7 linked regions of the Mus musculus genome follow. The main gene of each other region encodes a partner of the protein of the gene in region 6 in a complex. Links are inferred from orthologs where the notes say so. Each region holds a gene or a part of one and is shown on either strand. Other genes may lie near its edges.

Region 1 (4,284 bases), on a different chromosome or scaffold from region 6:
CATTAGAATAATCTTTCCTTTCTTTAAGGTTTAGAATGCCATATGTAAAGGTGGAGGTATCAGAGCCTTGTTAAAGCTCATTAAGAGAAAGTTACTTCCTCTTGTTAAAAGAATGGATTCTGAGTTCTACCTCTGGCCCTAATGATGGAGACGTAATATTCTGATCAGCCTCAAAAGAGAATATTACATGTTGTCTCTTACCTTAAGAGTTCCATACTGCCTCTAACCACAACATTTGGGAGGCAGAGACAGGTGGATCTCTGTGAATTTCAGGCCAGCCCGCTCTACAAAGTGAATGCCAGGAGAGTCACAAGCTCTATAGTGAGACCACGTCTCAGGGGGAAAAAGAGAGTTCCATGCTTCTGAATTGGTAGAATAAATATTGTGAAAATGGGTATACTTCCAAAATTAATTTGCAGATTTCATGCAACACCTTTCAAAATTCTGATGTATTTCACAGGTTTAGAAAAATAACACAAGAATTGATATGGAACTACAAAAGACAATAGGTAGAAAAGAAATCCCAAGGAATAAGAACAATGCTGATAGCATTATAGGACCTGACCTCAAATTTTACTATAGACCTATAGTCATAAGGACAGCCTGGTATTGCTATAAAAGTAGACATTAATATCAATGAAATAGAATAAGAGAATCCAGAATAAAATGCCAAAGCTATTCCTATTTAATTTTTGACAAAGGAAGCAAAAACATATATTGGGAAAAAAATAACCTACTTAAGAAATATGCTGGAAAAACTGAATTTCTATCTGAAGAAGACAGAAATTATGTGAGTGCAAGTGCCCACAGAGGCCAGAGGAGGATCTTCTGAAGTTGGAGTTGTGAGCCACCTGTTTTGGGTGCAGGTTCTCTGGAAAAAAATCAGCAAATGGTCTTAACCACTGAGCCACCTCTCTAGACCTTCAAGCTAATTTTTTTGAAGCTCAGTTTTTTTCCTCTGTAAAATGGGGATGGTAACTGTATTTCATGGGGTTGTTGGGCGGTCAGCCTGGTCTACAGAGCGAGTTCCAAGACAGCTAAGGCTACACAAGGAAACAAACAAGAGATTGAATGAAAAATGCAAATGGCAGAAAGTGAGCCGCCCCCTGGGAGGCAGAGGTTTAGGGTAGGGGCAGGGTGAGGAGTGCTGGGAGGAGCCAATGGTGTGAGCCTTAGCCTGGGGTTTGAGATCTAACAGAGATAACGTGCATAAATTGTCTCTCATTCACAACCTTTAAGTTCTCTAACTCTTTAGTTGATAGGTACTAGTTTGACAATGCTAATTTTTGCCTGCTTGTTTATACGTGGGCATTTAATTCCGACTGGCAGAGGAACACAGGGTCCCCCCATCGCTCTCCATCAAAAAGGGGGCGGGGACTGACTTGGGAACTGTCCCTCCACAGGAGCGAATGCCTGAGAAAGCACCTTCACCTTACTGCGCAGGCGCCAGGGCTTAGCGGGCCGGAACTTCCGGCGGAAGTTCCGCCTCGCGGGCCCCGTGCTCCAATCTGAGCTGGGTGTTCGGGTCGCGGGAGCGCTTTGGAGCCTCACCCGGAAGCTGTTGTCGTCTGAAGCGAGCCGCGCGAAGATGCGAATATGAAGTAAGGATTCTGTTTCTCTGCGGATAGGGGCGGGAGTGTTCTCCGCGGAAGGGAGAGTGGCTTGAGGATGGCCGCCCAGAAAGGGCGGGGACCGGTCCTCGCCCTCCGGGCCTCCGGGCGGGAGAAGCTCGGTAGGGAGAGGGCGGGCTGGGAGGAAAAGTACTTATCGCACTTACCGGCTTGCCTGCCACCCGCGCAGCCCTCTGACTAAGGTGAAGCTGATCAATGAACTGAATGAGCGAGAGGTTCAACTTGGAGTGGCGGAAAAGGTGTCTTGGCACTCGGAATACAAGCACAGCGCCTGGATCTTTGTTGGTGAGGTCCCCATTTTTCTCCAGCAGTGCCTTTCAGAGTCCGCCCCGTCCCTTCCCCTCCCCTCCCCATCCCTCTCCATCCCTCTCCCCTCCCCTCCCCTCCTCATCCCTCTCCTCTCCTCTCTCCACCCCTTCCCCTCTCCTCCCTATGCCCCCTCCCCCGGTTATTTAGTGCCCCTGGTCATCGCTTCTGAACAAGCTCATCACCTCACACTCTGGAAGCTCCTCTGCTCACAGGTCCACTTTTCAGTTGCCTTCAGCGCTTCTTAGAATTGGTATTTGCCTTTCATTCTATTCAAAACCTTGCTACTTGGCTGCTCAGAGACAGTTCATTCCACAGTCAACCTATCACGATGTCAAAGAAACGGAGGCGCAGACAGGTTACTGGACTTGCTTAAGGTCACATGCTGCAGCACTTCAAAACTGTGGGGCTTGTGCTCTTCGTCACGGTCACATACCGATCGTGTGTGTGTCTGCCCTTCCTCACAATGATTTTTCTCCTCTCCTGGGCTTCTGCTCCTAGTCCTTAGCTGTACCGTGATGTACCTGGTCAGACATTAGCTGGATTTGAAGACATTAAGGCTTGATTCAAAATTAGCTTTACTCCGGCTGAACATTTGAAAGGCCACCTGAAAATGTGACAGGATCAGGGAAAGCTACTTCTGATGAAAAGAATAGAGTCTGGAGTACACCCCTGGCCCTGGGTAGATACCAGGACATTTTCAGGAAACCTACATGTTACATACTAGTGTGCCCCTTCCTTCAGACATAATCCAACAGAGCTTTAAGTCATCTGGCCAGTAGACACCTGTCAGGAAAGCTCAGTCACCGCCAGACACGCTAGGGACACGGGAGGGAAATGATCCCCAGTGCAGGTGGTGCTGATGTCCGCCCTAAGTCTACCTGCTGCTCTGAGGCCTCGCTGAGCCCCACCTCTCCCTTTCTTTCTGTTCTCTGGGTGCTGGCGGAAATCCTGAGCCTGCTTGCCCCTAACACGCTGGGCTTTCTCATCTCACATCTAAATGTTTTCCTGTCCCTTTGCGGCTACTGCTCTGTCCCCATTTTTGTGCACTCCTGCTTGCTCCACCTCCTAATTCTGAAGGCATGGCTGCCAACCCTTCTGTAGCTCCCTCCTCCCTCCTCCTCCCGGTAGCTGGCGAATCTTACACCTTGCCTCCCTATCAGCTCTCCCTCAAATGCTAACACAATGGACCTCAAGCTTGCCCTTTAGTCTGTTTTAGAATTATTTTACCAAGATTAGAGACTGAGAGCCTTTGTAAAAGGGGAACTCTTGAGTCTCTGGGGACAATATTACCTTTCGTGTATTCTCTTTATGTCACAACCAAAATCCCGCAGTTTGCCTTTTGAAGGGATTGTGTTAAGCACTTTATATGCCTCATTTTAGTTTATTTCCATAATACTCCTGTGAGGCAAATATGTTAACGTCCCCTTTTTGCATATGAAGGAGAACATTGAGGAACATGTGAAAGGCTTCCTGTGAACCGCTTAGCACTTTCCTTGATACATCCTAGTTTGCACGTGGGGGGCAGTAACAGTGTATTGAAGTCAGTGTTTATGAAATCTGAGTCTTGTGCTGGAAATCATGTGCTTTATAGGACTTTGGGTATGAAGACTCAATGATAAGATTAATTTGGTAATTTATGACCCTAGCCTTTCCCCTCAGAGTTAATTAGTTTTTTTCTTTTTCTTTTTTTCTTTTTGAGGCACAGTTTCGCTCTGAAACTCACTGTGTAGACCAGGCTTGCCTCGAACTCAAAGGGATCTGAGAGCTAATGACTTTTCTTCCAGACAACTGTCATCGTACCCACTCTGTCATTGTATTAGGCTGATAATTTCCAGATCAAGGCTTGTTTAATCTGCACCTCCAGTGTCTGGCCTAGTGCATAGCATGCAGTGAATGCTTGATTAATGCTTGTTAAACTGGAGAATGTGTGTTTTCTTCCAGGAGGGCTTCCTTATGAATTGACAGAAGGCGACATCATCTGTGTGTTCTCACAGTAAGTCCTCTGTTAGTTCCTATCTCCTGGATGCATGGAACAGTTTGCTTCCATAGTGTATTTTTGTAACAGCAACAAAGCATTTCAAGCTGGGTGTGGAGTTGTACACCTCTAATGCCACTAGACAAGTGCCTGAGATAGGAGGATCACTTGGGGTCTGCCTAGGCTCCATAATGCATTCCAGGTCAGCCTGCACAACTAAGTGAGATCCTGCGTCAAAAAGCCACCAAAGCTATTTTAATTCTAGGGATGTCTAATGACATCCCTCCATGGGGAAGGCTAGACCCTAGATCAGTCCCAGAGAGTTACCCCATGGGAGATCCCAGAGCTGAGATCGTTTGAGAGTCTGTC
Region 2 (2,431 bases), on a different chromosome or scaffold from region 6:
CTCTGGGACCACATGGTTGAAGGAGAGAACCAACTCCTTGAAGTTGTCCTCTGACTTCTGTATTGGCACCATACAAACAAATTTAATTTTTTTAAACATTTATTTTATTTATTATATTCTACCTACATGTATGCCTGCATGACAGAAGAGGATGCCAAATCCCCATTACAGATGGTTGTGAGACACCATATGGTTGCTGGGAATTGAACTCAGGACCTCTGGAAGAGCAGTCAGTGCACTCAACCTCTGAGCTATCTCTCTAATCTCTGTAATAACAGAGATCTCTGTAATAACACACACAAATGTAACCAAATCTTTGTAATTACATTAGTGTAAGTTCCCTAGCCCATGTCAACAGTTCCGGATTTGAGGCTGGGAAGATAACTTGGCAGTTAAGGGACCTGAGTTCAGTTCCCAGCATCTGCACTGGGCAAATCACAACTGCCTATGGCAGCTTTAGGGTATCTGATGACAACTGCCCTGGTACACACACACTCATATCCAAACAGTACAAGATCCTTACTGCTTTAAATGTTATGTGTCTGGGGTACAAATTGTAGGTTTGGTTTGGTTTGGATTTTTACATTGGTTGTGTAAGTGTGTACATATGCCAGGTATGGAAGTCAGGACATCTTAAAGAATTCATTCTCTGCTTCCAGCAGTGAGTTCTGGGAATCAAAATCAGACTTGGCAGCAAATGTTCTTACCCACTGAGTCATCTCACCAGCCCAGATTTTAGCAATTTAAGAAAAGGAAAAAGACTTAACTTTGCCTGGTGGCACACCTTTAATTTTCCACACTGGGGAGTTGAAGGCCAGCCTGGTCTACACAGTGAGTTCCAGGATAGCCAGGGCTACATAGAAAAACCCTATGTCTCAAAAAGACATTTTATTTTGTATGTGAGGGTGTGTGCATTTGAGTGTAGGTGCCCTGGGGTACCCTCAAGCTAAAGTTGCAGGAGGTGGTGAGTCACCTGACATGGATATTAGAAAGAGATCTCAGGCCCTCTGGAGGAACATCGAACCCTCCTAACATCTCATCCCAGCCCAAGCAAATCACTTTAATTTTACTGATTCTGTGCTTGTTTGTGCTTAGAACTTTTTACATAAGTCCTAATTTTTGCTCTTGCTTTTCCAGGTTTATGGACAAGAAGTTATCATGTAAGTTTGCATCCACCTCAGCTAACTACTTGGTTTCTTTTTGTTGTCTTGGCAATATGTAATCTTTGGAAATGTGTTATAGAAATTTAATATATAAGACATCTAATTCTTCTCCACTAATCAGATTTGTCAGAGTTCTAATTAGACTTTTTTTCTTTGCCTTCTAATTGCATTATCTTTAATTACATTATCTGTGCCTCCCTGGCCTTGAATTAGCAGTGTCCTACGTTATAATATTTAAAACTTTATCAGCCCCTTTCCTTTAAATATGTTACCAGGGAGTTGGACAAGCAGCACTTGATGTTTCTTGTGGATGTGTAGGTTTAACTAGAAACCTCCTGACCCATGCAATTGAAGTATACTGAAATTTTAGGATTTCTCTTCTCTACCATTCAACAGCTCTAAACTCTTGTAACTGGTTCATTTGTGTAAAGATACTACTTTACGTATAAATTTACTTACAAATACATTTATGTATAAATGTTGAGGCGGTTTTACTTGGGGGGGGGGGGACAGTCATTGAGACCAGATCTCGTTATGTGACCCTGTCTGGTCTCACAGTCCTCTTGAAGCAGCCCTCCTCTGTTGTTGCCAAGTGCTGGGATTACAGCCATGAGACTCACAGGTAATGTCTCCAGGGTCTTAAAGGCTAAGATATAGGCAAAGAAGAACTGGAATATTAGGATAGAATTAGCCCATGGTTAGGCAGATAGTAGGAGTGGTGGTCACACATCCCACCTGATCTATGATGGATGGTTGAACTTGGTTTACTGAGACTTCTTCTTTCTCTTACAGTGAAGTTAAACGGTGGCAGGCATGTCCAAGGAATACTGCGGGGCTTTGATCCCTTTATGAACCTTGTGATTGACGAGTGTGTGGAGATGGCAACCAGTGGGCAACAGAACAACATTGGCATGGTGGTGAGTAAGGGCAGCATCTCCAGGGTCTTCTCCTCCCTCCTTCACATTCCTCATATCAAAGTCTCAGATTAAAACCAAGTTAGTTACCGAGGAAAGGTAAATGAAAGGGAAGACTGGGCATTTGCACCTCCCCCTTCCTTTTACCTGTGGACACACCCAGCTGTGGTACTATTCCAGGTACCTACAGACAAGCTCTCACCTGCAGGACCCTCTCAGCACAGGTCTTGGAACAGCTAGCTGAAGGGATTTATTTTTGAGCTTTGCCCTGTAAGAGATGGGCACGCATATGCAGACTTTGACTACAGTACAAATTCTCTAGCATGCTTTTGATGCCCCAGGATATCTTGTTAA
Region 3 (4,251 bases), on a different chromosome or scaffold from region 6:
GGAGATTGCCAGAACTACCCGGGGGTCGCACAATCAATAAGGGACGCAGGAAAGTTCCCCAGAGACGCTGCGGATCCAGCTGCCCTACCACCAGCCGCAGCTTGGCTTCTGAAAGGCTTCCGATCAGCGGGACCTTGGTTGGGAAATGGGATGGGAAAAAGAAAAATGAAAACAACCCCATTCCCACCTTATCCTGGGCGCCGTTGCCTACTAGGAGTCCTGGCTCTTCCTGGTAATGCAAATCTCCAGCATCAAAGATTTCCTAGACTGGGAGAAATCTTCAAAGCAAATCTGGTCCAGCCTACCGCAGTCCTAACGAGGAAATTGCAATCGGGTGATGGAAATTTCTAAATAGATGGCTTGGGCATAGAACTCAGTTCTACCAGTGTTGCTATGAGGACTCGTCATCTTCAGTGGGGTCTATCACAAAACAAGCCTGAAGCCTTATTTTGTTGGGTAGGGGCACGCGCTCAAGTCATGGATAAATGGCACAGGCGGCAAAAGCCAAATGATAAGACCACGGTAACCTGAGACTCAATACGAAGGGAAAGAGGGAAATGACGCTGGCTGGGCACCAGCCAGGGCTCACCCGCAGATCCCGGCTCCGTGACATCTCCTCAACCCCAGGGTGCCAGCTGTTCCAGACGATATAGAAAGCCAAGCCCATAGCCAGCGCCAGCAGCAGCAGGGGCAGGAACTGCACTCGCGGCAGAAGACGGCGCTTGGAAAGTGAGGGTGGTTTCATGAGGCCACGATCCTCGAGCCGCTGCCGGGGCCGCCCGCGGCTCCCGGGACTCATGGTAGCTTTGCTCTGAAACCAATCCCGGTATGGTGGTTTGAGTTTTAGGCCAAGATCCGCCTCGCTGAGGTTACAAAACCCAATAAAGAAGCAGAGTAACTGCGTCCTTCCCTGAGACGATTGCGATTGGCTGTCCTAAGCGCCGCCCCACCCAAAAAGGAGGGCGGAAACCTTAAGGCCCGCCTCCACGGAAGAGGACCAGTCAATGGGCTGCGTCCGAATGTGCGAAACCTTCCAAGGCGCGGGGTCACGCCCCTCACGGAAGTCGATCAAGAAACTGTCGTTCAAGGAAAAAAGGGGCGGCATCCATCCCTAAAACAAGGAGCCGATTGGTTTACCTGAAGCCATGCCCTCAAGAAAAGTGTCCGAGGGTATTTGGAAATGGGGTTGTGTTTTCCATCTTCCAACTGGACGGTTTGACGGGAAAATAATTCTAGTCAGACCCCGTATTATTTTCCTCATGAGCAGACACCCTATTGTGATCCTCAGAAGCTTCAAATCCTCCTTATAGGCATTTTCTACAGGAGAGTGCAGCCTGAAGGGTCGCTATGGTAACAGGCCACGCCCACAGCCGCTGGTATTTGGTTGCGCAGGCGCCGACGGAAGTGAGCCGCAGGAGACGGAAGTCCCGCCCTTCTCGCCCTGTACGCCAAAGGCTGGAGCAACGCGCTTGGAGGCGGGAGTGATCTGCGAGCGAAACCTACACCATGTGAGGCCGGGCTGGGCTTTGGCGGGGCCGTGGAGATGGAGGTGGACAGTTTAGCTGAATAACGGTCGAAATGGGGTGTTTTTATAGCTGAGGGTAGAGTTCCTCGGGCAAAAGTAATGTTTTTCCTTCTGGGGTATTTGAGATCGGGCTTGGGGCCTCGCTCGGATCTTGAGTTCCGGAGAGGGGACAGCTTTATTCCATAACGGGCATGAGACTCTCCGAGGTCCTGAGTCTTGTGGAAAGGAACCATAAAGGGAAAGCTGAGTCTGATGGCACATGCCTGGAATCCCAGGCCTCGAGAGGCTGATGCAGGAGGTTCGCTAGTTGGCCTTGGCCAGCTTCATAGCGAGACCGCTTCCAAAAGTAATAGTAATTTTAAATGGAAGTGGTCTTATGAATAAAGAGCTTGGCGGGGAAGGAAGAACTGTTAGAAATAGTGAAAAGTATGGGACGTAACCAGGATAAATTAGAGAACCTAACTAGAGACTGTCAGAGTAGCAGGGTACTACAGTGGTTTGGTGCGTGTTTATTCATTGAGCATATACTATGTAGACTGCTTGTAAGTTAAGACACATGGTAAATAAAAGGTCCTTGCCTCCAAGGGGGTGGGGGAATCTCCCTGGTGCTTGTAAAAAGAGTGGAGTAGGAAAGCCATAGAGTAATAAATAGGTACATACACCTTAGATAATCAGGTTTGGATGGAGAATTGAGCAGGAAAGATATAATGCCAGTAGGTAGCACAGTAGGATGCATTGAAAGCCCAGTTCTTGGGATGCAGATTTAGCTCAGTGGACAGAGTACTTACCTACTGTGGGTACTGGGTTTGGTCCTTAACCACACACAAACTAGACATAGTGGCACGTGCCTGTACTCCCAATACTCAGGAGGCAGAGACAAGTCTGAGTTCTGGGGCAGCCAGGCTTCTACAGTGAGATGTTGTGGGGTGGGGCGGAGGTTCATGGAGAGAGATGATTGAAGTTTAGGTTGCGGATAGAAAGGGCCAAGGTTTGGATGTACCATGGTGGCAGATGACAAGATATAAGGATAGAGTAAGGTTTGAAAGAAGAATCAACTGCCAGGCATGATGGTGAGCCTCTGTCATCTCAGACCTTAGGCAGTGGAGTCAGGAGAATTGAGAATTCAAGGTCAGCGGTGGGTGGAAGAGGTTAGGTAGATGAGCCGGGGCAGGCTACCATGGAAATGTCTCTCCTGCCTCCAGAAAAGACTGCACCAGAAAGGGGGCTGGGGAGACACTGGACAGTGTGGCTTTGATCACGTACATTTCCAACTTGAACCCATCTCACCCCTGGGTTCTCTATCCAGGAGTCTCCTCAATAAACCCAAGAGTGAGATGACCCCAGAGGAGCTGCAGAAGCGGGAGGAGGAGGAATTCAACACAGGTCCCCTCTCAGTGCTCACGCAGTCGGTCAAGAACAACACGCAAGTGCTCATTAACTGTCGCAACAACAAGAAGCTGCTGGGCCGGGTGAAGGCCTTTGACAGGTGAGTGCTGTCTTGGGGAGGGCTGGGTCTGGGTCCGAGGGGCCTGAAGGAAAGGTCATTCCAGAAGGATAATAAGGTGGGCACACACGGTGACAAAGCACCTTTAATCTCAGCACTCGGGGAATCACTATGAGTTGGAGGCCAGCCAGTGTCTCATGGCACGACCTAGCTCAAAAATGTAGAAAGTGGCGATGCTTAACCTTTTTATAATACATATCTTACGTGTTTAGGTGTTTTGTCTGCATATGAGTCTGTATGCTATGGACATGTCTAGTAGTTATCAGAATCCCCTGGCAGGAAATTGGACTGGAATTTCGATATTTGATTTGTTTATCTGTAGACCAGACATCAGTGTCAAATATCTTGTATTGCTTTGTAGTTTGTTTTGAGACAGGGTCTTTACTATGTAGCTCGAACTGGCTACAGATGTGGCAGAGGCTAACCTTACACTTCTAATCCTCCTGCTCCCATCTCCCGAGCGCTGGGATTACAGGATTGCATGAAGCATGCCGTCCTGCTTTATTGTTTTAGTTAGCATGGGACTTGCCTTGTGACTTAGCCATACACATCTGGCACTGTACTTTGCTCTTATTCACTGTCCTCAAGCAAGCATTTGTGGAAAGAACTGATCCAAGTGTGAACAATGGCCACCCGGCCCCATGAGGACAGGACTGTGCAGCACTGGAGTGCGCGTGTTGGGAGCCGTGTCTAACCCCAGCACCCTAAGACCCTCTGGAGGGAGCAAGTGCTTCTCTCCTGCTGTTTCTCTCAGAGTTAGAGTTAACGCCAGAGCCAGGGCCATTTTGGTGGGCTTTACTCTGCTGGGTCCTGAGTTCTTTATTCATCCAATCTTCACACCAGCCCTATGAAATAGACTGTCTCCATTTCATGAAGGGGGAAACTGAGGCACAGAAGGGACACTATAAAGTGAAATCACTTTGCAGCCTGCCCATCCCCACTGTGGAGCCTGGGCTTTCCTTATGCCTGCTGCTGGAGAGTTCACACAGTGCCAGGCAAAGGTGGGCACTCGGAATGCCCCCCCTTACTCCAGCTTCCCCCCCCACCCCTACCCCATCAGGCACTGCAACATGGTGCTGGAAAATGTGAAGGAGATGTGGACTGAGGTTCCCAAGAGCGGCAAGGGCAAGAAGAAATCCAAGCCTGTCAACAAGGACCGCTACATCTCCAAGATGTTCCTGCGCGGGGACTCGGTCATCGTGGTGCTGCGGAACCCACTCAT
Region 4 (3,934 bases), on a different chromosome or scaffold from region 6:
TTTGTTTTTTGTTTTTGTTTTTTAAATGGTGAACTGGAGAGCTGGCTTCTCAATTAAGAACACTTAGGTTTAACTCCCAGCACTCACGTGATGTCTCAAAAACACCCCTAACTACATTTTCAGGAGATCCAATGCCCTCCTCCAGATTCTGAGTGGTATACATACTTGCAAGTAAAATGCCTACACACACACACACACACACACACACACACACACACACACACCCAATAGAGGGGCTGGAGAGATGATTCAGTGGTTAAGAGCACTTGCTGCTCTCAGAAGACTGGTGTTTGGTTCCCAGCACCTATATCAGGCAGGTCCCAACCACCAGTAACTCCAAGTTCAGAGAGACACAATATCTCTGACCTAAAAGGGCACACACACACACACACACACACACACCACACACACACACACACATACTGTGCAGATAAATTCATGCAGGCAAACCCACATGCACATTAAATAAATAAATATTAAAATCTTATGATACCCAAACTCCCACCTAAATGTATTTATTATGTACCTTTAGTTTTTGTTGTTTTAATTTTTAATATTTTAAGTTAGGCCGGGCGTGGTGGTGCACGCCTTTAATCCCAGCACTCGGGAGGCAGAGGCAGGCAGATTTCCGAGTTCGAGGCCAGCCTGGTCTACAAAGTGAGTTCCAAGACAGAGAAACCCTGTCTCGAAAAACCAAAAAAAAAAAATTTATTTTTAAAAAAATTAGGTGTATGTGTGTTTGTGTATGAGCACGTGCACACAAGTGCAGGTGTCAGAAGAGACCAGAGGTGGTAGATCCTCCTGGATCTGGAGATATACGTGGTTGTTGGTGAGGGATGTGGGTGCACCGAATCGAACTCGACTTCGCTGAGCCGTCTCTCCAGCCCTTTGTTATATATCTTGTTTTCCTAACCCTGATTTGTACGTCTTTTATTTATCCCAGCTGTGGGAACTAGTTAGTCATCACTGACAGCTTGTATTGATAGAGAACTGCACCCGCGCACAGATCATTAGGGGGCGACGGAGAGCTTGGACGAGGCTGTGCATGAAAGCCTCTTGCACTTAGCGTCGGGAAAGAGGCTGCGCGATTTGAACCCGCCCAGCCACCGTCGATCCCTGGCCGGAAGAGCGCGACTCTTTCCGGGTTTCGCGGTCTGTGGAATTGGAGTCTCTACGGCAGCCGGAGCGAGGCGGTAGTACCGCAGGCTCTGTCCCCGCCGCAGTCCTGGCCGTTCCGCGGTTGCGCGCCCGGAGCAGGACGCGTCGCCATGGCGACGCCGGCGGGGCTGGAGCGGTGGGTGCAGGAGGAGCTGCACTCGGTGCTGGGGCTGAGCGAGCGGCACGTCGCGCAGTTCCTGATCGGCACCGCACAGCGCTGCGCCTCCGCCGAGGAGTTCGTGCAGCGCCTGCGGGACACCGACACCCTGGACCTCGGGGGGCCGGCGCGGGACTTCGCCCTGAAGCTCTGGAGCAAGGTGTGTGCCGCCGGGGCAGGCCACTCACAGCCGAATTGGCTCGTACGCAGTGTGGCTGTCTATTCTGTGATAGCCTGCAACTTTCAATATAGTACACAGGCTGGCTTAGAACTTGCAGCGAGCCTCCCTGGTAGTGGGGTGACAGAGAGACCTTTCATTCTTGGTTCCGCCCACCATTTAATTTTTTTCCTCTGTTATCTAGATATCATGCTAGGTGTTGGGTGTATACAGGTCTGTGGAGAAGACTCGAGATGGGGCTCTACATACATGTTTAAGCTAGAGCCATTGTTAGTTACAGCACATACCCCAGGCCTAAGGATGTAGCTCAGTTGGTAGAATGTTTGTCTAGCATACAGTAAGCCTTGGATTCAATCCCCAGCCCTGGGAAAGAGTCACTGAGAACAGAGCTAGGAGAATTAGCATTTAGGAAATAGGATCGAGGCTGGGGAGGGATGGCTTAGCAGTTAAGACCCCTTGTGCATCTGGAAGACTTGAGTTCAGTTCTCAGCAACCAGGCCTAGTGGCACACAACCATCTGTAATTCCAGCTCCAAGGAGATCGGAGGGCTTCTGGCCTTTGCCAGGTACCCCATACACATAAATAAATGAAAAATAAATCATGAAAAGAAAATGGGTTTTAGAACATAAACTACTTAAGCTCAGAACCAATACTTTAAAAAAAAAATTCTATCGTGGGGCAAGAAGAGATGGCTCAGGGATTAAGACCACTTGCTGTTCCTCTAGAGGAACCAGGTTCAATTTCTAGAACCCACGTGGCAACTCACAACTGTAACTCCAGTTCTATGAGATTCAGCACCCTCACACACAGCTCACGTTGCAGGCAGAACACCAGTGCACATAAAAATAAAAGTAAGTCATTAAAGTTAGGAAGAAGTTTTAGTTCGTGCATATGCCCGTGTGAGGCTGTGAGCGTACAACCTGTGAGAGCTGGTTCTTTGCCTCCACCACGGGATGGCTTTCAGTAATCATTTGCTCAGTGGATTCCTAGAAGGACGTTCAGAAGCTGCGGAGCCCTGTTGAGCTATGACCGTAGAACAAGACCACGAAGAAGAGAAAGATGGAGACAGGCTTTAGATATAGTAACCGGTTCGTAGGCAAATGAGGGTACTGAGGTCAGGAGCTGTCATATCTACCGGCAGGTGCCACGGAAGGCTGTGGTGGAAAAGCCAGCTCGGGCAGCTGAGCGAGAGGCCCGAGCCCTGCTAGAGAAAAACCGTTCTTATAAGTTGTTGGAAGACAGCGAGAGCGGCGAGGAGGCAGTGGGTAGTAACGGGAGCAGCCTCCAGAAGAAGCGGAAGAGACGGAAACACCTCAGGAAGAAACACCAGGAGGACGAGGAGGACGAGGAGGAAGAGGTTTCCGAGTCAGGGAAGAGGAAGGCAGGGTAAGTCAGAAGGAAGGAGAGGGATTGGAGCAGGCTGTCGGCTGTGGGGATGCTAAGCTTTCTCAGTACCCCCGTTTGATACACTGGGCTGGGTTTGCTGGGTTCAGGGGGAGTAAATCACCCACGGAGGAGAAGCCAGCCTCAGAGGATGAATGGGAAAGGACGGAGCGTGAGCGTCTCCAGGACTTGGAAGAACGGGATGCCTTTGCAGAGCGGGTTCGGCAACGGGACAAGGACCGGACCCGGAATGTCCTGGAACGGTCAGATAAGAAGGTGAGCTGAAGAGAGTCAGTCAGGCAAGTCTGGATTTGGCTGCAGAGTTGTCTCTGGGAAGACAAGAGTTGTCACTAGGGTTCCCCGTGGGCTCACTGGCTATGGTTCTCCCTGTCTGGTTGAGATCGACAGAGGTTCTCCACCGAGGAGGGGCAGCGAAGGACATTAGTCATCCTGACAGCAATGGTACCTTTGGCCTCACATCCCTTTACATGATTTCTTCTAGGCCTATGAAGAGGCTCAGAAGCGCCTCAAGATGGCTGAGGAAGATCGGAAAGCCATGGTGAGACCCTGGGTTCAAAAAGCAGTGTCTGAAGACAAAGATGGCTGGAGTGGTCGGCCGTAGCAGGAAGGGTCACAGAGGGAGTGTGCAGAGATGTGTCTGGGTGGTCAGGCTCTAGAGGAGAGGGGCCTGCCTGACAGGAACCGGAAAAGAGTGGACTTGGGTTGTAGAAGGAGAAAGTTACAAATCCTCTCGCCTTGGTAAGATCAAGTCATTGTGTCTCTGAGACTTGATGAGACACAAAATAGCTAGCACCAAAAGGCCCCACATCCTCCTCTTTGGAGTTTTGCACACTCTGAGTGTGCAGGGAGCAGGGTTTCAGTGCTGGTAGGATGAGGACTTGACTGTCCCTTCCTGACCCAGGTCCCTGAGCTCCGTAAGAAGTCTCGTCGGGAATACCTGGCGAAGCGGGAGCGAGAAAAACTGGAGGACCTGGAGGCGGAACTGGCTGATGAGGAGGTCCTGTTTGGGGACGTGGAGCTGAGTCGCCATGAGCGCA
Region 5 (3,500 bases), on a different chromosome or scaffold from region 6:
AATTGAATCCTAGTTTTATAAATGAATGTATAAATATGATCCAGAATTTCCTGGTGCCTTGGTTTCATCATGAGATGGTTATGAGATACCAATTTAAGTGACACACTTGTGGCTTTGCATGGGGTAATAGCTCAATAAACATTAGTGATTATCTGTAGATACAGAAGTACTTAATTACTACAGTGCTCGACTCAGCATAAGTGTTCAGTATTTCTTATTTTAAACATTATTTATTTCTCTTTATGTGTATGTGGTATGGTTATGTGAACTTTTATGCCCTATGCATTCAGGCCCCTGCAGAGCAGACGGGGGCATTTTCCCCTGAGACTGGAGTTACAGACAGTTGTGAAGTTGCCAGGCTGGGAACAACCTGGACCCTCTGGGAGAGCAGCAGTGCTCTTCACCCCTTAGCTATAGCTCTCCAGCCCCAGAAGGAACACACTCTTTATCTTTGCACTGATTAGTTGTTCTGTATTCAATATTTTCATTTATTCATATATGTGTATCTAGGAGGGCATGCCATGGCTTGTGTACAAGAGATAGTTCTTTCCTACCGTGTGAGTTCCAGAGACTGAACTCAGGTCACCAGTCTTGGTGACAAGCCCAAAGTTACACATTTTACTCAAGTTCTGTAACTCAGGCTAACCAGTAGGATCCCAAGTTAGTTAAAAAAAACAAAAAGCCTAGGTAAGTGTGTCCAGCTTAGCTGAAAACGTATTCCATTATTAGGAGAGGGAAAGGGAAGACTCATTTCTTGGTGCTGGAGAGATGTCTCAGTGCTTAAGATAGCTTGCTGCTCTTCCAGAGAATTGGAGTTCATGTCTAGCACCCTTATCAGGTGGCTCACAGCAGCCTATAGCTCCGCTGGATCTAATGGCCTCTTCAGGTCTCTGTGGGCACCTGGCCCCTGGCCCCATATGTATAAACACACTTACATAAAAATAAACAAACAGATAAATCTTTTTCTTAAAGAGTACTTTCTGGGTCAGTGGAGTCATTCAAAAAACCAAGCATCTTTCCCAGGATTCCCAACACATACGTACGTACACACCCTTTGCTTCTTAAAACAAACTATGCATCATTTGTTAATCTTTTATCTTAGGTAAATCTTTATTTTAAATGCCATGGCCGGAGAGATGTCTCAGCGATAAGAGCATATACTACTTCTCTACAGGACCTGAGTCATCCCATCAACCAGGCCAAGTGTCTAACTCTAGCTCCAGGCTAGAGCCTCCAAACATACTTATACATAACTAAAAATAATTTAAAAAAATAAATTTTTCTGGATGCAGTGGTGTATGCTTTTAATCCTAGCACTTGGGAGCCAGAGGCAGGCCTCTGAATTTGAGGCCACCCTGATCTACAGAGTAAGTTTCAGAACAGCCAGATCTATATAGTGAGGCCCTGTCTTGGGGTTGGGGTGGGTGGTGGAGCCATGCATCTGGGGGCTGGAGAGATGACTCAAAAGCTAAGAGCACTTATTGCTATTCCCGAGGACTCAGATTTGGAGTGTGGTTCCCAGCACCCAGGTCAGGGGACTCAACTGTCTGAAACTCCAGTCCCAGGGAATCTATCACCTCTGGCTTCCTCAGGCAACTGTACTCATGTACACACACCCACATACAGACACACACACAGAAATAAAAGTAGTAAAAATAATTGTGTTTTTAAGCAATATAACTTATGCATTTCTTTAGAGTTCTCTTGATGTTATGTATTTCTTTCTTTCTAGGGTAGCTAAGAAAAAGATGGATGAACAGAGCTTCTTTGGAGGGTTACTTCATGTGTGCTACGCTCCAGAATTTGAGACAGTTGAAGAAACTAGAAAAAAATTACAAGAAAGAAAGGCTTATATTACAAGAGTTACTAAAAACCAAGGTATGGAAAGTGTGTGTTAACACCTCCTGTGTATCAGGCACTGCTAGGAATGTGTGTCACTGTGGAATTCCTGCCCAGTCACAGTCTTTGCTCTGTGCACCCCTGTAGAATCTCGGCTGGGAAGGGAGAGGTGTTGCTTCATTGAGATTGCCTCTGGGATGTGAGAGATAGTTGAATAGTAGTAAATGGTATTCAGAAGTGGGGTTAAAAGGATGGCAAGGTAAGGCAGGCTACATGTCAAACACTTAGACAGATGAATCGCCACCATACGTCTAAGGAGCTGCAAGTCCTACAGAGTAACCAAGGTCCCGAGGTTTTAGTGAGTGAGATTAGGAAAGTAGACAGGCAACAAATCATGGAACTTGTGGCCAGGCTTTAACATTAAGGCAGCAAGAAGCAGTTATGGTTTACAGACTGGTTCTACATGCTGCTCATCATGGGAAACTTCCAGTTGTTATAGTTGGGTGGCCCACATGTCCATCTGAGTTTCTCTTGGCACAAGGATGAAGTAAACATGGTTCTAGTAGGATACCCTGGAACTGTAGAAGCTTTCTATGCAATGGCGTGGAGACTCTAAGATTACAGTTAGTGGAAAATGTAAAAATATAAGTTTTATTGTCTCTCAAGTGGCTCCAGAGGAAGAGTGAGGCGTTCTAGAGTGCTGAGGAGGCGAAGCCTGGTGGTAGCCTGGGATCTTTCCGAAAGCCTTGAAGTCTTCCCGGTGCAGTCCCTGCTCTAGAAGTACCGTTTCGGGAGTAGAGGGCCTTAGCATAGTAAGGTTTGTTTTTAGAATCTCAAGATTCTGAATGATCAAAGTGATTAATGAACGATTTCTTTCCCTTAACTTTTAAAACTTGACTTTTAAGATTGTTACATGGCGAAGAAGAAACCAGTTCCAGAGCAGAAAGGAACAAAAGATTCTAGACAAGGTTTCCATCCACCTATGCCTGGATTTGGTACAGCTGCTTTAAACACATCTCCTGAGAGTCCTCCAGAGAACTCGAGTTCTTGTCTTCCTTATTCTTGTGAATTCCCTTTAAGCTGTTTTGCTTCCAAGAGCACATGTTCACGTGGGGAACATGTGGACAGAGTATCAGACTCCTGTAATAGTGCTAGGAACCATGGTGAACTGTCTAGGCATCGTGACCACAGTGCCTTTTCACCAAAGCTGCAGATGAACACTTACAAAAACTCCGTCCCTTGCTCTAGTGTGCAAGAGGCCATTGCTACCTCACAGGCAGTTGGCAGGTTCATGCCTAGGACAACACAGCTGCAGGAGAGGAAACGGCGGCGAGACTGTGATCGAGAACTGGGAACTCTGCTTGAGACACACACAAGCAGTAACGAGGTTTTGATTGGACCTAAGTTACCAGGTATCCCCACAGTAGATCTGCAGGACGACTCCTTGAATACAACGGCAACCTTAATTCGGAGGAAACTTAAAGAGGTGAGGTCTTTTTTTTTTTTCTTTTTTTTTTTTTAAATTGAGATAATTTAATTGAGAGACCAACACTTGATAGGAAATTATTTGGAGGAACTAAAACTTTGTAATTATTTGGTTTTGTTGTATTTTCCTACCTTTATTTTCCAAAATAACAAATTTGATCAATATCTGATTTGAC
Region 6 (3,500 bases):
TTAACTGCTCTATTCATGCATAAATGAGGCAGTCACTGAAAACGTGTCTAGTTTTAATGTTAACTATCAACAGCAAGAAAAAACAAACTAACCGGTTAAAAGCCCAAACCCAACCAGCTTTGACACGAAGAATGTGCCCAATTGTAAAGTAATTTCGAGGGCCAAGCTATACACTACAGTTCCAGCCCAACCACAGACAGTCAGAACTATTAACGAAGGCTGTTACCGAGGGGAAGTCTCTTTCTGGCGCTTTCGAGGTGATGGAGAGGCACTCCGAGAAGGGGAATGTCTCCGCCGCCTGCCTACCTCACCGTTCTTTACATGGGATCTCTTGGGCCGCTCATCTTCTGAGGTGGAAGAGGAGCCAGAGTCTGTAATCACAGAGCAAAGAACAACAACAAAATATCACACACTCACACACTCACACACACACTCACTCACTGCCCCCTGTAGTACCCCTTGGGCCCTTACACTGCATGCTCAAGGTCCTGGGTTCTACACCCAGCACTGGGAAAAACGTTTCTTAGAGGTTAAGACTCAATGACTCCACGTTTACTTAGTATGGATGGCATGAAGCCATGGGTTCAATTCTCAGTACCATCAGGACAACCTACACTTTTTATTTATTATTTATATGAGTACACTGTAGCTGTCTCAGACACACTAGAAGAGGGTATTAGATCCCAGTACAGATGGTTCGGAGCCACCATGTGGTTGCTGGGATTTGAACTCAGGACCTCTAGAAGAGCAACAGTCAGTGCTCTCTCTTAACCTCTGAGCCATCTCTCCAGCCCCCATCAGGACAATCTAATCAGTACAATTTTAGTGACAGTCAACAGTCCACACCTAGCAGAAAACTAGCAAATATAAGACTAGTATATCTCAAAAGTACTAAGGCCTGCACGGATCTCTTAGGAAAAAAATCCAGGGATGTAAAATCAGGCTCATTGGTGTATGTGCACATCTGATGACAGGGAGGTGAAGGACGGAGAATATGAAGTCCAACATGAGCCTCGCAACAAAACTCTAGTGAATTCTTTCCCAATTAATAAGGTAAGGCTTCAAAAGAACCTCAGGGCTGACGGTCAAATTCACTGGAAAAGCCCAACCCAGCATGTGTTGCACATCAGCAGCAAGAAAGCAACAAAAAAGTATCAATATGCCACTTGAACCAGAAAATAATTACAACTATAACCTGAGCGATGAGGGTGTGGCTGTGAGTAGAGAGCTTGCCTCAGCACATGGGAGACCCTGGGAATCAAACCCCAGTACTGCATAAACTGAGTCCAGTGGTGCAAAGCTCAACTCTCAACACTTAGGTGGAGTCAAAAAGACTACAAGTATAAGGTCATTTTTGGCTACAAAGCAAGTTCAGGGCAAGCCTGGACTACATGGGACATTTTCTTAAAACCCAAAACCAAACTAAAGCCACACAAAACCCAAGTAAGTAACACAAGAACAGAGCCCCTGGCTTAAACATTAGGCTTCTGTGCTCTTTCTTTTTAATCAAACAATCAGAACTACAGTGAGTTCCAGGCTAGCCCAACTACATAGTGAGGCCAAACAAAAACAAAACACAACCAAATAGCTACTAGTAATAAATGAAGTAGATTCATAAAAAACTAGTATGATCATCTAAACCAGAGACTCCTAATTATATAGAACAAAGTTGCAGAAAGGCTTAGGAGTAGACTCAAATATTAGGGAATAAATTAGTCTTTCCAATTTCATTTTCTGTTTTACTATTGTACTCTACGCCAACTACCTTTTGTTTTGTTTGTTTTTTTTTTGAGACAGGGTTTCTCTGTGTAGCCCTGGCTGTCATGGAACTCACTCTGTAGACCAGGCTGGGCTCAAATTCAAGAGACCTGCCTGCCTCTGTCTCCCAAGTGTTAGAATCAAAGGTTTGTACCACCAACGCTTGGGTCCAATTATGTTATATTTAATAATGTTGGGAATAGAGCCCAGAGCTGTGCACGCAGTACGCTGTACTCTACCAGAGCCATGTTCCTAGCCAGATTTATTACCTTCCTAACAATACAGCAATTTAAAAGCAAAATTTAAGGGCTTAAAACAAGAAAGAAATACCCAGTGCCCAACTGAGACCTATGGCCCAAACACAACCCATGAAGGCAAACGGTTCAATTTCCAGCACCCACATGATGGCTCACAACGTCTCTAATTCCAGATTCTCACTGGATCTGATACCCTGTCTTCTGGTCTCCTTGGGGACCAGATGTAAACATGGTGCAGACATGCATGCAAGTGAAATACAAACAGGCATAACATTGCAAAATGGGGGCGGGGTGGAGTGGGGGGAGAGCCCCAGGGTCTCATTAGTCCAGGCTGGTCTCAAATGTACAATGTAGCCAAGAACAACAGAGCTTTCCCCCTCCTGCCTCCACCTTCTGAACCACAGGATCTCAGGCTTCTTCCGCTTTGCTCTTCTGGGGACTCTCACTATGCAGCCCTTACTGGCCTCACACTCTACAGGAATTCTCCTGCCTTAGCCTCCCAGTGCTGGGTTACCACAGGTGTGAGAGTGGAAGGCGCTCATTCGCTTGTTGTCCATACCAGATGAAGACTGCTGGTTCTGCCGTCGGTATTGTCTTCTCTGCTGCACAGAATCAGCTGCAGCCATTTTGCTGCCTTTGTCTTCTTCTGAAAGATGGGTGCATTTAGACAGTGTTTCTTTAGTTACACACAGGTAATGTGACACACAACACAAGGCATCAGCCCAGTCCATAAGATAGGAATGCTATAAACATCCCAGCCAGCTGTCCAAACCCAAAATTTTGTCCAAATACAGAAGAAAAAGAATGAGGTCCTGGACGAATAACCAAACAGCGCACACTTAAATGCCACAGCTGGGAATTGCAGAAAGTCTGTGTGACGTCACCTTCAGCTCTTCCCTACTGGGTGCCCTGGACAATCAATCCCCAACCCCAGGGAATAATCACACACGGAAGGAAAAACAGAAAACCAACCTCTAGAAAATCATTACAACTTACCAGACTCAGACAGCTCCACTTTTCTAGGCTTGGGTGCTGGAGAAGGTGACTCTCTTTTCTCAGTACCTTTATGTTTTGTCACTAAAAAAGAAGAAAAATAAACCTCACACAATAAAAAGAACAATTTTTTTGTTTTGTTTTGTTTGTTTTGTTTTCCAGACAGGGTTTCTCTGTATAGCCCTGGCTGTCCTGCAACTCACTTTGTAGACCAGGCTGGCCTCGAACTCAGAAATCTGCCTGCCTCTGCCTCCTAAGTGCTGGGATTAAAGGCATGCGCCATCACTGCCCAGCAGAACAATGTTTTAATAGCACAAGAATGGGTTAGACTCCTCACATGAAAAAATTAACCTAAAATTTAAACATGGAAAGCTTCAAAAACTAGTTCTACAGGGCTAGCAAGAACCCTGCACCAGCTGGGCAGTGGTGGCACACGCCTTTAATCCTAGCTCTTAGAGGCAGAGGCCAGAGGCGCAGGGGCGCAGGGGCAGA
Region 7 (3,500 bases), on a different chromosome or scaffold from region 6:
CCCCCAAAACATACAAAAACACCTACAACACAGAAAAGGCTCAAGACCACAGCCCTTGTCCACCCTCTAACCCTTAGAATACTGAGCATGAGCAATGTGGCAAACAAAGTGGGGCTTGTCCGTCACTCATCCTGAGCTTTTCCAAGTTTATGGGAAGGAGTTGGGAGAAACCCAAGCCTTGAAATACCGAGCTCAGGAGCTGAAGCACGAGTTGCTTGCTACTCCCTGTGACTGCAGAGTGAGAGCAAGGGTGGAGGGACCTTAGACTCTGGACAAAGCCTACTGTGGCCCCCAGGCTCTATCCCCATGACCTAGGAGGTAGTGCACGAGTTGGAGTCAGCCTAGCTAGGAAGTGAGACTCTGTCTCAAAAAGTAGGAAAAAATAAATATAAAAAAGAAAAAGAAAAAAAAAAAGGAAACGAAAACCAGAAAGGGTCAAGGTCAGGCAGAAGAGAAAACAAAAATATAGGAAATAGACTCACCTGTCCACTCCATCCCAGCGATACCCAGGCCAAATGTTGAATCTATTGGGAGGAGGAGCAGGACCACTGTAGCGGGGCTTCACTAAAGACAGGAATGAGAAAAAAGAAATTAGCTACTGACACAATTTAATTCAGAGCTAGATGGCTATGGGAGAAAATTCTTCATGGAAGTTCCTATTATTTTGATTCAAACTTCCAAACACAAGGGCATTACAGTAGTGTGGGGCAGCCCTCTGACAACTCTCAGTCACCTCCAGCTCCAGCAACCCCAAGTCTCACCTTTCTTATTCTTGTTCTCCTTAGCTTTATTCTTCTTAATAAAGTTGGCCATCGGGTCCCCTTCTCTTTCTTGTTCTCTCAGCATCCGATCCAGATCTTCATCATCTATGTAGCGGGCCAGAGGCTTCTGCATCTCCTTCATTGCATCTTCTACATTCTGTTGCTGCTGCCGGCTCTGGGCAAGCCTGGGCAAAAAAGAAGCATCCTGCTTGAGAATTCTCTCCTATACTGAGAGCCCACAGCGCTGCCCTGGAGGACTCCCTCTTTGTAGCAGCCCCAGAATCCGGACGGGTAGCTTGAACCAACCATCTCAGGAGACTGTGCACCTGAGGCTCGCCCCGTATCAGCTCCCAGAAATGCAAGGCAGAGGCTGGCTCAGGTCTTGCAGTCTAGCTTTGTGCTCAGGGGCGCCCTTACCCTTTCCCCCACTGGGCATATAGCTCATCTCGCTCTGAGTCTTTCTCTGCTTTTCTCCTCTGTTCCAAGCGCTCTAGCTTCAAATTCCTCTTCCGACCAGACTTGTCTCGAAATACAGTTTCAGTGAATTCAAACTGTGCTATGAAGGAAAAAACACATTTTAAAGATACACACCAGGCATCACAGTCAGAAATCACATTCTAGCACTAGAAACCAACTGCTTGGGATCTTTTGCTGAAAGAACTCTGCAGACAGACCATCCTACCAGCACTCTTTCACATACTGGGAAGGAAAGGAGTGCTTGTACTACTGAGGTAAGGTACATAAAAGCAAGGAAGTTTCCGATAGCAAATACAAGCCACATTAACAACAGAAAAGAGAGCTATAGGACCTTCAGTGGCCCCTGCAAGCTCACAATTGTACCTCCGAGGTCTGTGGTGTCCTGGTCTTGTTTCTTGAGTTCCTGGTGCTCCCGCTGAACATCAGTGACCAACCCAGTTTTTGCTCCGGAATACATGTGTGCAGTCTGTGCAAGAGAAAAGGAATACATGTGTACAGCCTATGCAAGGGGAATACACGTGTGCAGTCTGTGCAAGAGAAGAGGCAACAGCAACACCATTTTTCCAGGAGGCAGATAGCTGCTCCAGTGCCTGACTGTTAGCTATAACCAAACCAAAACCTCTAGTTTTATATTCTCAGTATTGACCACAAACAGGGCTCACAACATAGAATGGGAAATATCTAATCTCATAGAACACTTTATGGTATCAAATTTTAAAGTAAACAGAAACACAAACATGGGGCACATAGAAGGGAGTAAGAATTTGCATGACTTCTCTTTTTTTTTTTTTTTTTTAAAAAAAAAAGATAGAGTCCCCTACAGCACAGGCTGGCTTTGAACTCACTTATGCACATTTTAAAAAGCAAAAAGCTGACATTTAGAGGAATATAATTTCTCGTCCAATCCCACAGATACTAAGTAGCAGAAGTAGAATTTACAGCTATTATTGGTTTCACAGGGTTCTGCACTTCTAACTGCACTTTATAATCTGTAAGCCTCAATTTACTGTTAGGAAAACAGGTGGTGCCAGCCTGTATATCTATCAACAGGTGGGAAGAGGCAGATGGGTCAGAAGTTCAAGGCCAGCCTTGGAGTACACTCAAAACAACAAAGACAAGACACTGAGATGAGACTGGTGGCATTACAAGGCTCTGAGAGGCAGCTGGGCACTCCTGATCCAAAACCAGAAATGCACAATAGTCCAAAATCTACAACATTCTGAGCACCATTTGGGTGCAGAAGCACAGCCTTCAAACTCCAACACTCTGGTTCCCAAGCTTCACTGAGGCCCAGCTAAGACGAGTTCCACCCATGTCACCGTCAGAGAAAGTTCCAGAAATGCTTCTAACTCCAACTTCCTGTACCACTTTCTCATTCTCTGCTGGAGGAGTCACCCTGATAAAGAAAGACACAACTCCTGGAAACCTACCTTCTTGCCAGGACGGGGACTCCTTCGAGGTGGAGAGAGGTCAGAATCAGAGGATTTGGTCCTCTGTCTTCTCCGGGGTGGAGAGAGGTCGGAGTCAGAGCTCTGCCGCCTTGGTCTGTTCCGTGGTGGTGACAGATCTGAATCAGAATCCTGGTGCCCCGAATTTTTTTTTTTCCGTGGAGGAGAAAGATCTGAATCAGAGGCTTTTTGGTAGACACCTAAGTAGAAAAGAACAAAAGCGTCTATGAAATCTCCTGTGTCTAAGAGAATCTAGGGATTAAAGAATGAATTAAGGATGGGGATGGTTCAGCAGTAAAATGCCTGCCTAGTACGTCAGACCTGGGTTTGGTCCTCAGCACAGGAGAGAAGGGGAGGACCATTAATCTCCTTAGGAGATTGCTTAAAAGAACTTACCATGCTGGGCACGGTGTCTTTTTAGCCATCCTATGAAATAACATGACTAACCAAAACACAGGCACAAGTGACACAGAGAAGAACAAAGGCGGGGGCTTGGTTTCCTGGCTACCAGTGTCTGGTGACTTTGAAAAGCGTATGAGATCTCAGACACAGTCTCTCACTGCCACCCTCTTCAGAACTGGCATCAGAAATGAGTTGGCCCGTGCGGTGTGGCAGAGTCAGGAAGACCTGGACTATATGCTGATCTCCCCAGACTCAAGAAAACAAAGTAATTTCATTTTAAGATTAAAACTATAGCTAAAACAAATGATGAAGTAAAACAAAACCCTTTCTGCAGGGGCCTGTTCTAGATGACAGTGTCACCAGTCACCTCCTGAAAAGCCACTATATAGCAGGTACTAGGTAGTAGCAACAG

The links.
Region 1: Srrm1 (region 6) and Rbmx2 share a complex: the UniProt entries of both Homo sapiens proteins name them as parts of the minor spliceosome. The link is inferred for Mus musculus from reciprocal best matches to the Homo sapiens genes SRRM1 and RBMX2.
Region 2: Srrm1 (region 6) and Snrpg share a complex: the UniProt entries of both Homo sapiens proteins name them as parts of the minor spliceosome. The link is inferred for Mus musculus from reciprocal best matches to the Homo sapiens genes SRRM1 and SNRPG.
Region 3: Srrm1 (region 6) and Snrpd2 share a complex: the UniProt entries of both Homo sapiens proteins name them as parts of the minor spliceosome. The link is inferred for Mus musculus from reciprocal best matches to the Homo sapiens genes SRRM1 and SNRPD2.
Region 4: Srrm1 (region 6) and Dhx16 share a complex: the UniProt entries of both Homo sapiens proteins name them as parts of the minor spliceosome. The link is inferred for Mus musculus from reciprocal best matches to the Homo sapiens genes SRRM1 and DHX16.
Region 5: Srrm1 (region 6) and Rbm48 share a complex: the UniProt entries of both Homo sapiens proteins name them as parts of the minor spliceosome. The link is inferred for Mus musculus from reciprocal best matches to the Homo sapiens genes SRRM1 and RBM48.
Region 7: Srrm1 (region 6) and Bud13 share a complex: the UniProt entries of both Homo sapiens proteins name them as parts of the minor spliceosome. The link is inferred for Mus musculus from reciprocal best matches to the Homo sapiens genes SRRM1 and BUD13.

Annotation. Positions count from the first base shown.
Region 1 is NC_000086.7:48,693,520-48,697,803, forward strand, and holds the start of Rbmx2 (RNA-binding motif protein, X-linked 2), read left to right. Parts: upstream 1-1,484; 5' UTR 1,485-1,596; coding exon 1,597-1,601; intron 1,602-1,800; coding exon 1,801-1,916; intron 1,917-3,881; coding exon 3,882-3,933; intron 3,934-4,284. UniProt on the Homo sapiens protein: Involved in pre-mRNA splicing as component of the activated spliceosome. As a component of the minor spliceosome, involved in the splicing of U12-type introns in pre-mRNAs.
Region 2 is NC_000072.6:86,374,540-86,376,970, forward strand, and holds part of Snrpg (small nuclear ribonucleoprotein G), read left to right. Parts: intron 1-1,137; coding exon 1,138-1,160; intron 1,161-1,955; coding exon 1,956-2,080; intron 2,081-2,431. UniProt on the Homo sapiens protein: Plays a role in pre-mRNA splicing as a core component of the spliceosomal U1, U2, U4 and U5 small nuclear ribonucleoproteins (snRNPs), the building blocks of the spliceosome.
Region 3 is NC_000073.6:19,148,387-19,152,637, forward strand, and holds the start of Snrpd2 (small nuclear ribonucleoprotein Sm D2), read left to right. Parts: upstream 1-1,451; 5' UTR 1,452-1,506; coding exon 1,507-1,508; intron 1,509-2,831; coding exon 2,832-3,011; intron 3,012-4,089; coding exon 4,090-4,251. Other genes in the region: Qpctl (glutaminyl-peptide cyclotransferase-like protein), read right to left, coding at 1-133, 590-799. UniProt on the Homo sapiens protein: Plays a role in pre-mRNA splicing as a core component of the spliceosomal U1, U2, U4 and U5 small nuclear ribonucleoproteins (snRNPs), the building blocks of the spliceosome.
Region 4 is NC_000083.6:35,878,644-35,882,577, forward strand, and holds the start of Dhx16 (pre-mRNA-splicing factor ATP-dependent RNA helicase DHX16), read left to right. Parts: upstream 1-1,134; 5' UTR 1,135-1,268; coding exon 1,269-1,475; intron 1,476-2,634; coding exon 2,635-2,879; intron 2,880-2,986; coding exon 2,987-3,152; intron 3,153-3,378; coding exon 3,379-3,435; intron 3,436-3,798; coding exon 3,799-3,934. UniProt on the Homo sapiens protein: Required for pre-mRNA splicing as a component of the spliceosome. Contributes to pre-mRNA splicing after spliceosome formation and prior to the first transesterification reaction.
Region 5 is NC_000071.6:3,590,048-3,593,547, reverse strand, and holds part of Rbm48 (RNA-binding protein 48), read left to right. Parts: intron 1-1,732; coding exon 1,733-1,878; exon of another isoform or gene 1,879-2,744; coding exon 2,745-3,325; intron 3,326-3,500. UniProt on the Homo sapiens protein: As a component of the minor spliceosome, involved in the splicing of U12-type introns in pre-mRNAs.
Region 6 is NC_000070.6:135,329,147-135,332,646, forward strand, and holds part of Srrm1 (serine/arginine repetitive matrix protein 1), read right to left. Parts: intron 3,093-3,500; coding exon 3,012-3,092; intron 2,662-3,011; coding exon 2,575-2,661; intron 372-2,574; coding exon 227-371; intron 1-226. UniProt on the Homo sapiens protein: Part of pre- and post-splicing multiprotein mRNP complexes. As a component of the minor spliceosome, involved in the splicing of U12-type introns in pre-mRNAs. Involved in numerous pre-mRNA processing events.
Region 7 is NC_000075.6:46,289,512-46,293,011, reverse strand, and holds part of Bud13 (BUD13 homolog), read right to left. Parts: intron 2,887-3,500; coding exon 2,669-2,886; intron 1,705-2,668; coding exon 1,602-1,704; intron 1,318-1,601; coding exon 1,179-1,317; intron 947-1,178; coding exon 762-946; intron 565-761; coding exon 483-564; intron 1-482. UniProt on the Homo sapiens protein: Involved in pre-mRNA splicing as component of the activated spliceosome. As a component of the minor spliceosome, involved in the splicing of U12-type introns in pre-mRNAs.